2 linked regions of the Xenopus tropicalis genome follow. The protein of the gene in region 2 purifies or fractionates together with the protein of the main gene of each other region. This does not show direct contact. Links are inferred from orthologs where the notes say so. Each region holds a gene or a part of one and is shown on either strand. Other genes may lie near its edges.

Region 1 (3,652 bases), on a different chromosome or scaffold from region 2:
TTGGGCATGAAACCATCAGTATCTAAACTTTCTAAATTGGGGACCTTTCCCTGGGAAATGTTAATCCATCATAGTTTAGCCTAAGAAATCGCTCATTTTTCCTCTATCAACTTTGCAACAAATCTACACAATGTAAATATTAACATGGAGTTATAAAAGAAATGAGGCATAATATATACTGGCATTGTAAAAAAAAAAAATTTTTAGTAGGCCCTGTAGTGTCTCTGCTGCTTCCTCTTCCTTCTCTGCCTGCTTAACTCCGGTGTTAGTTCTATAGCTCATTTTAATCATTTTGTGAAACTCACATGTTTTTGTTCTTACAGTCTTCTGATGTGATTACATTATAAATCAGTGCAACACACTTCGCCCCCCATACACATATTATAAGCCCCTTAGTGCCTCTGTCCTTCCCTGGCCTGTAATTCTTCTCTCTGTCCTCATTTCCCCCTGCCTGCTTCTCTCTGGTGCAACATATTTCAAAATTTACCTACTTCTTGTGAAACTCACCAGATTTTCTGTTGACTTGATTCTGTGGAATGATAATCTGACAAGAATTGGCATCGTTCGTGTTCTTTATTGGATGGCTCAGAATACAAATTACACGGATGACCTGTCCTACTTTAGTGACCCGATCTGAAACGTAACTTGGATCACATATCAGCTGCTTGCATCGTGCCACCTGCAAAATCAAAAAAGCCCTTGTGAAACAATTTTTTCAAATTTGATGGTGTTTTTTTTTACCTCCAGTGTAGGACACCCATGGGTGCAAAACCTATATATGGGTTGGAGGGAGGAGACATTTATTGGGGTACCATGGATTCTATATGCAATATTTTTTATAAACATTATGTGGATGATCTTTTGCTTGCATGGCAGGGATCTGAGATTGATTTTTGGGATTTTGTAAATTCTCTGAATAATAACACTTTGAATTTGAGCTTCACCAGCAAGTTTAATAGAACTTACATTTTCTTTTTGGATTTAAAGTTGTCTCTGATTTTAGGGTTGAAACTATATTTAGGAAGGCCTGTGCTGGTAATTTACTCGTAAGGGCTGATTCTGTCATCCCAGCCTTTTGTTTAGAGGGATCCCTTTAGGACAATTCTACAGGATACGGAGAAATTGTAGTACCATGGAGGCCTACATTGAACAGGCCTGTCTCTTGCGAGATAGGTTTATGGATCGTGGCTACAAAATGAGGTCTCTTTCAGCAGCCTTTACTAAGGCATAACAAACTGATAGAATGGAATTGCTTAAAAACATAGATAAAAGTAATAATCAAAATATAAATAATAATAAGATTTGTAGAAACACCGATTTTTGTTACTACATATAGCAATCAGTTTTATAGGATTAGGAGGATCTTCAATAGCCTTATACCTGTTCTTTACAATGATCCCCTTATAGCGACAATTTTGCAAGGGGGATATAAGTTTGTAGCACGTAAAGCTCTAACTTTGGGTAATGTTCTCTCTGGCACACTATGGAAGTCACACCCAACTAGAACTACGTGGTTAGCGACTACAGGGCGTATCCCTGGGGCGCACGTATACATTTCACTTGTGCCTATATAAAACAGTCTACTTCTTTCCAGAGTTCAGTGACAGGCAGATATTTTAACATGCGTATGTATGCAAATTGCAACACACAGTATTTTGTGTATCTTTTGACCTGCTCGCATTGTAATATCCAATACGTTGGCTGCATGATCCGGACTTTAAAAAGCAGGATGTGTGAACACGTTAGACACATAGTAACAGTCCTATATCTTGACACTTTATACAATGTTGTGAGGTCAATGTACCTTTAGACAACGGTGAGCTCTTTATAAATGCTGAACTGATTTGCTTGTTGGTGACTCTTCTGCTTGCCATTCATTTAGGAGACAGACCCGGGGTATTGACGGCCGGGTCTCCACTATACATTTGGTACGATGTTTCGCTTTTGGCATTAGCAGACTCGTTTACTGATTTATATCTAATTTAATTTTGTGCAAATATTTTGTGTTTCTTTAATTCTGAGTCTTGTGAAACCAATGTCAAGCTTACTTTTTACACATCTCCATGAAATGCCTTTAACTCTCAATGAAGAGTACAGATGTGAATCCTTAAAAAACATACAAAACTGTAGGAAGCCAGACCAAAGTCATAATACAACGGTTCAAATTAGGCTGTGTATATCTCACATATTTAAGGTAGAGCTACAATGGTATTATTTGTAATTTTAGAAAAAAATGCACATTTTTCCCCAGATGTGAACTCTCTACTTGGCAATTGAAACACTGTTTTCTTTCTTCTGTAGAAAGATATGGCAGAAGCATTCGGAAAGCTAACAGTAGCGTTCTGACCCGAGCTGATGTCAGATCTTGCCCATATTTGTGCAACAAGCAGGGCGTTTGTCTGCAAGCGTTACTACAGCCCACATATGCCAAGAAATCCAATGCAGCACCCACAGCAGAGGAGGAGAGAATTGCATATTGAGAGGGGAAGCCCTTTACATATTTAAAACATTCACAGTCCTTGGTTTAGTTTAAAGTAAATTATAAGGCAAAAACAGTGTATGCAGTTTATTTGCTACAGCAAATACAAATAGCTAGATACAACTTTACAGTGCTTGCCGTTATCATAACCAATCCATGCAAAAAAATTGCAAAATAGGGCAGAAAGCACTATTTAAAGCTAAATGCATAACCTTATGACTTCATGACTCTCACATGTCCGTTAGATGCCAGATCTAACAGATAAGCTGCATAGTTTCCCATTGTATTCTACAGAGTAGAGTCCTGCATTAGGTCACTTTCGTTCAGCACAATGCTTAGGGGCAGATTCATCAATCAATAGAGCTCAATACATCACACCTATGGGATTTTTTAAAAGCATATTTATCAATAATTGAAAGTTAGAGTTGAACTGAAATTTAGAAAATCCCAAAAGGAAAAAAAAAATAGAACGTGGGTGAGTTTTTATGTAAACTCACATTTTAATAAAGCTGCCCCTTACTGTGTTGGAGCACAGTAAGTAACCTGTGCAGTTTCAGGGTCCAGAATTTAAACAAGCTGACCAATACCTAAGGTCAATAAACAATAAAGGCTTCATATACTTAACAGAACATTTTAGGTAATCTTCTACAATCCCTTTGTTTTCATCAATATAGGATAAAATAATGTACTCCCATTATTACGGTTACCAGAGAATTGCTAACACCTGCACAGAAACATGGCAAAAGTAATAACATAAATGCATAACAACGTACCTCCCCTTCTGATTTCACACCAACAATTTTGCCATTCTCCATCACCAGCTCTTCTATTGGTTTGTTCAACATATATGTCCCACCATAAATGGCACTCAGTCTGGAAAACAGAATGAGGGACTTAATGAAGGGCAATAACAGGTAGGCAAACTACAATCTAATTTTCCAGCCCATTACCAGCTTTTTATTTTTTAAAGGAAAACCATACAGGACAAGATTGACAGTCAAAGATGGTTAGGGTCTCTTCATAAAGGTTTACAGTCTACAGAATGTCAGGTAGAAAAATAATGTGAACTTTGGAACAAAAATGATAGCATAATATAATGGATATGAACAAAGGAAATGTTAGGCCATAGGGTATAGCAGTGTAAAACACAGGATGTGTGCTGAATCTAAAATG
Region 2 (4,382 bases):
TACTGTGTATGGGAGGACACTGTGTAAGGAGGGCTACTGTGTATGGGGGGGCACTGTGTATGGGGGGCACTGTGTATGAAGGGCTACTGTGTATGGGGGGGCACTGTGTAAGGAGGGCTACTGTGTATGGGGGGGCACTGTGTATGGGGGGCACTGTGTAAGGAGGGCTACTGTGTATGGGGGGGCACTGTGTATGGGGGGCACTGTGTAAGGAGGGCTACTGTGTATTGGGGGCACTGTATGGGGGGGCACTGTATGGGGGGGCACTGTGTAAGGAGGGCTACTGTGTATGGGGGCACTTTCTATGGGGGCATTGTGTATGGAGGGTACTTTCTATGGGGTGCTGTCTATTGGGCCATCGTGGGCACTATTTTAACTATTTTAAAAATGGGGTGTGGCAATTGGGGCGTGGCCAAAATTTTTGGGAGGTATGCACTACCCCTGCCCTATGCCTCCTCTCCAGTTACTGGCATGGCTGATGTTTCCCTGCCCTCTGTGCCCAGTCCATGAGGTTATTGTAGTTTTGCAGCTTCAGCAAAGAGGAATAGAAAAGGGAGCTTCTGTCTACCCAATTGCATGCTGGGTAATGTAGTTTTATATTAATCTTATTCTGTAGGCTAATTGTAAGAGACAAACTACATTACCCAGCATGCACTGAGATGCAAGGGGAAACAAATCCTTGACTAGTTCCCAAACTACAAACCTGCCAAGACTCCAAAAACAGTCCAAATTTGTACCTTGTTGGGTTTGTACTTTGGAAACCCGCCCAATAAGTAGCCCAATTTGGTGGAAAACCCGCCAACCTGGCAACCCTGCCCCTCCCCGTCTGACTTTGGTACCGAACCGTGATTGTCATGTAACTGCCTAATGTATAAAGTTGGATTAAGAAAAAAAAAATCCCTTAGGAGACAGGCGGTAGCGCGCAAACCATCAGGCTGAGGGGAGTGGCCGCCATTTTGTTGACTGCATCGCAAGGTGGGCGGTGCCTGCTCTGTTGGGACGCGCAGAGGCCAGCATTCAGCCAGTGTATGGTTGCGCGCTCCCGCGGTGGGCGGTGCCTGCTCTGTTGGGACGCGCAGAGGCCAGCATTCAGCCAGTGTATGGTTGCGCGCTCCCGCGGTGGGCGGTGCCTGCTGTGTGGTGACGCGCAGAGGCCAGCATTCAGCCAGTGTATGGTTGCGCGCTCCCGCGGTGGGCGGTGCCTGCTCTGTGGGGACGCGCAGAGGCCTAGGGAGAGGCCTGCATTTAGCCAGTGTATGGTTGCGCGCTCCCGCGGTGGGCGGCGCCTAGCTGTGGTGAGTACGCGGAAAGTCTGTGGGAGGGATAGCCATTTTGTCCGGAGTCTCCCAGCGAGGCCGGAGAGGAGGGGCTCAGAGAAGGTGGGAAGAGGCCGGGACAAGCAGGCGGCACTTAGCGAGCCGAGAAGCGCACTGAGCTGGGTGTGGGGCCGCCGGCTTTCTTTCTCTTTTCCCCTGTGTGTGCGTGTGCTTCACCCGGTGCTGGGGGCACCCTCCGGCCGGACAGTCTCCCGTCCCGTCCCCGCTGGGCCTCCCCGCCCCCCCGTGTATGAGGAGCCGGCCGAGCCGAGGCCGCAGCCCCAGGCGGAGGGAGTGAGACGGAAACAGTGCCCATGGCGAAAAAGACGTACGACCTGCTCTTCAAGCTGCTGCTGATCGGGGACTCCGGGGTGGGCAAGACCTGCGTGCTCTTCCGCTTCTCGGACGATGCCTTCAACACCACCTTCATCTCTACCATCGGTAAGCGCAGGGGGGCCCGGGTGGGCTCATTGGCTATGGGGGGGGGGGGCTTTGCTCCTCCCCTTGGGTCATCTGAGAGGGGCAACTTCGGGTTTGATGGGTAACTGACAGTAGGCAACTAACCTACATGGGGCATTGCCAGCTGTCCCTATGGGCATATTGACTGGTCCCTATGGGCATATTGACTGGTCCCTATGGGCAGCTGATAGGGACATATTGACTGGTCCCTATGGGCAGCTGATAGGGGCATGTTGACTGGTCCCTATGGGCAGCTGATAGGGGCATATTGACTTGTCCCTATGGGCAGCTGATAGGGACATATTGACTGGTCCCTGTGGGCATATTGGGCATATTGACTGGTTCCTATGGGCAGCTGATAGGGGGACATTGACTTGTCCCTATGGGCAGCTGATAGGGACATATTGACTGGTCCCTGTGGGCATATTGGGCATATTGACTGGTTCCTATGGGCAGCTGATAGGGGCATATTGACTGGGCCCTATGGGCAGCTGATAGGGGCATATTGACTGGTTCCTATGGGCAGCTGATAGGGGGACATTGACTGGTCCCTATGGGCAGCTGATAGGGGGACATTGACTGGTCCCTATGGGCAGCTGATAGGGACATATTGACTGGTTCCTATGGGCAGCTGATAGGGGGATATAGACTGGTCCCTATGGGCAGCTGATAGGGGGATATTGACTGGTCCCTATGGGCAGCTGATAGGGGCATGTTGACTGGTCCCTATGGGCAGCTGATAGGGGCATATTGACTTGTCCCTATGGGCAGCTGATAGGGACATATTGACTGGTCCCTGTGGGCATATTGGGCATATTGACTGGTTCCTATGGGCAGCTGATAGGGGCATATTGACTGGTTCCTATGGGCAGCTGATAGGGGCATATTGACTGGTTCCTATGGGCAGCTGATAGGGGGACATTGACTGGTCCCTATGGGCAGCTGATAGGGGGACATTGACTGGTCCCTATGGGCAGCTGATAGGGACATATTGACTGGTTCCTATGGGCAGCTGATAGGGGCATATTGACTGGTTCCTATGGGCAGCTGATAGGGGGACATTGACTGGTCCCTATGGGCAGCTGATAGGGACATATTGACTGGTTCCTATGGGCAGCTGATAGGGGGATATAGACTGGTCCCTATGGGCAGCTGATAGGGGGATATTGACTGGTCCCTATGGGCAGCTGATAGGGGCATGTTGACTGGTCCCTATGGGCAGCTGATAGGGGCATATTGACTTGTCCCTATGGGCAGCTGATAGGGACATATTGACTGGTCCCTGTGGGCATATTGGGCATATTGACTGGTTCCTATGGGCAGCTGATAGGGGCATATTGACTGGTTCCTATGGGCAGCTGATAGGGGGACATTGACTGGGCCCTATGGGCAGCTGATAGGGGGACATTGACTGGTCCCTATGGGCAGCTGATAGGGACATATTGACTGGTTCCTATGGGCAGCTGATAGGGGCATATTGACTGGTTCCTATGGGCAGCTGATAGGGGGACATTGACTGGTCCCTATGGGCAGCTGATAGGGACATATTGACTGGTTCCTATGGGCAGCTGATAGGGGGATATAGACTGGTCCCTATGGGCAGCTGATAGGGACATATTGACTGGTTCCTATGGGCAGCTGATAGGGGCATATTGACTGGTTCCTATGGGCAGCTGATAGGGGGACATTGACTGGTCCCTATGGGCAGCTGATAGGGGCATATTGACTGGTCCCTATGGGCAGCTGATAGGGGCATATTGACTGGTCCCTATGGGCAGCTGATAGGGGCATATTGACTGGTCCCTATGGGCAGCTGATAGGGGCATATTGACTGGGCCCTATGGGCATATTGACTGGGCCCTATGGGCATATTGACTGGGCCCTATGGGCATATTGACTGGGCCCTATGGGCATATTGACTGGGCCCTATGGGCATATTGACTGGGCCCTATGGGCATATTGACTGGGCCCTATGGGCATATTGACTGGGCCCTATGGGCATATTGACTGGGCCCTATGGGCATATTGACTGGGCCCTATGGGCATATTGACTGGGCCCTATGGGCATATTGGGGACATTGACTGGGCCCTGTGGGCAGCTGATAGGGGGACATTGACTGGTCCCTGTGGGCAGCTGATAGGGGGACATTGACTGGTCCCTGTGGGCAGCTGATAGGGGGACATTGACTGGTCCCTGTGGGCAGCTGATAGGGGGACATTGACTGGTCCCTGTGGGCAGCTGATAGGGGGACATTGACTGGTTCCTATGGGCAGCTGATAGGGGGACATTGACTGGTCCCTATGGGCAGCTGATAGGGCCTGGTAGGTCTGTGCCACACACAGACAAGTTAGAAGTAAGTAACCATTGTACTGCCCCATGTACAGACATGTCAGTGGGCTACAGACCTTATGTTACCCCTGTTAGGAGTCACCTGCTCACAGAGCCATAGTCGCTGGGATTCGTCTCCCTGTTCCCAGCCCTCACTGGTGGATTAGCACTTTCCTTTCAGGCAGATACTGGCATTCTACAACAGCAGCGCCGCCGCCTGCCCCAGGAGAGGTGATTAATTCACCCCACTCCGCCTACACAGACACATAACTAATGCT

The links.
Region 1: the proteins of rab10 (region 2) and gdi2 purify together in Homo sapiens (co-immunoprecipitation; 3 studies listed by BioGRID and IntAct, with this or other methods). This does not show direct contact. The link is inferred for Xenopus tropicalis from reciprocal best matches to the Homo sapiens genes RAB10 and GDI2.

What each region holds. Positions count from the first base shown.
Region 1 is NC_030679.2:84,472,952-84,476,603, reverse strand, and holds part of gdi2 (rab GDP dissociation inhibitor beta), read right to left. Parts: intron 3,353-3,652; coding exon 3,253-3,352; intron 680-3,252; coding exon 508-679; intron 1-507. UniProt on the Homo sapiens protein: GDP-dissociation inhibitor preventing the GDP to GTP exchange of most Rab proteins. By keeping these small GTPases in their inactive GDP-bound form regulates intracellular membrane trafficking.
Region 2 is NC_030681.2:154,267,782-154,272,163, forward strand, and holds the start of rab10 (ras-related protein Rab-10), read left to right. Parts: upstream 1-1,482; 5' UTR 1,483-1,630; coding exon 1,631-1,757; intron 1,758-4,382. UniProt on the Homo sapiens protein: The small GTPases Rab are key regulators of intracellular membrane trafficking, from the formation of transport vesicles to their fusion with membranes.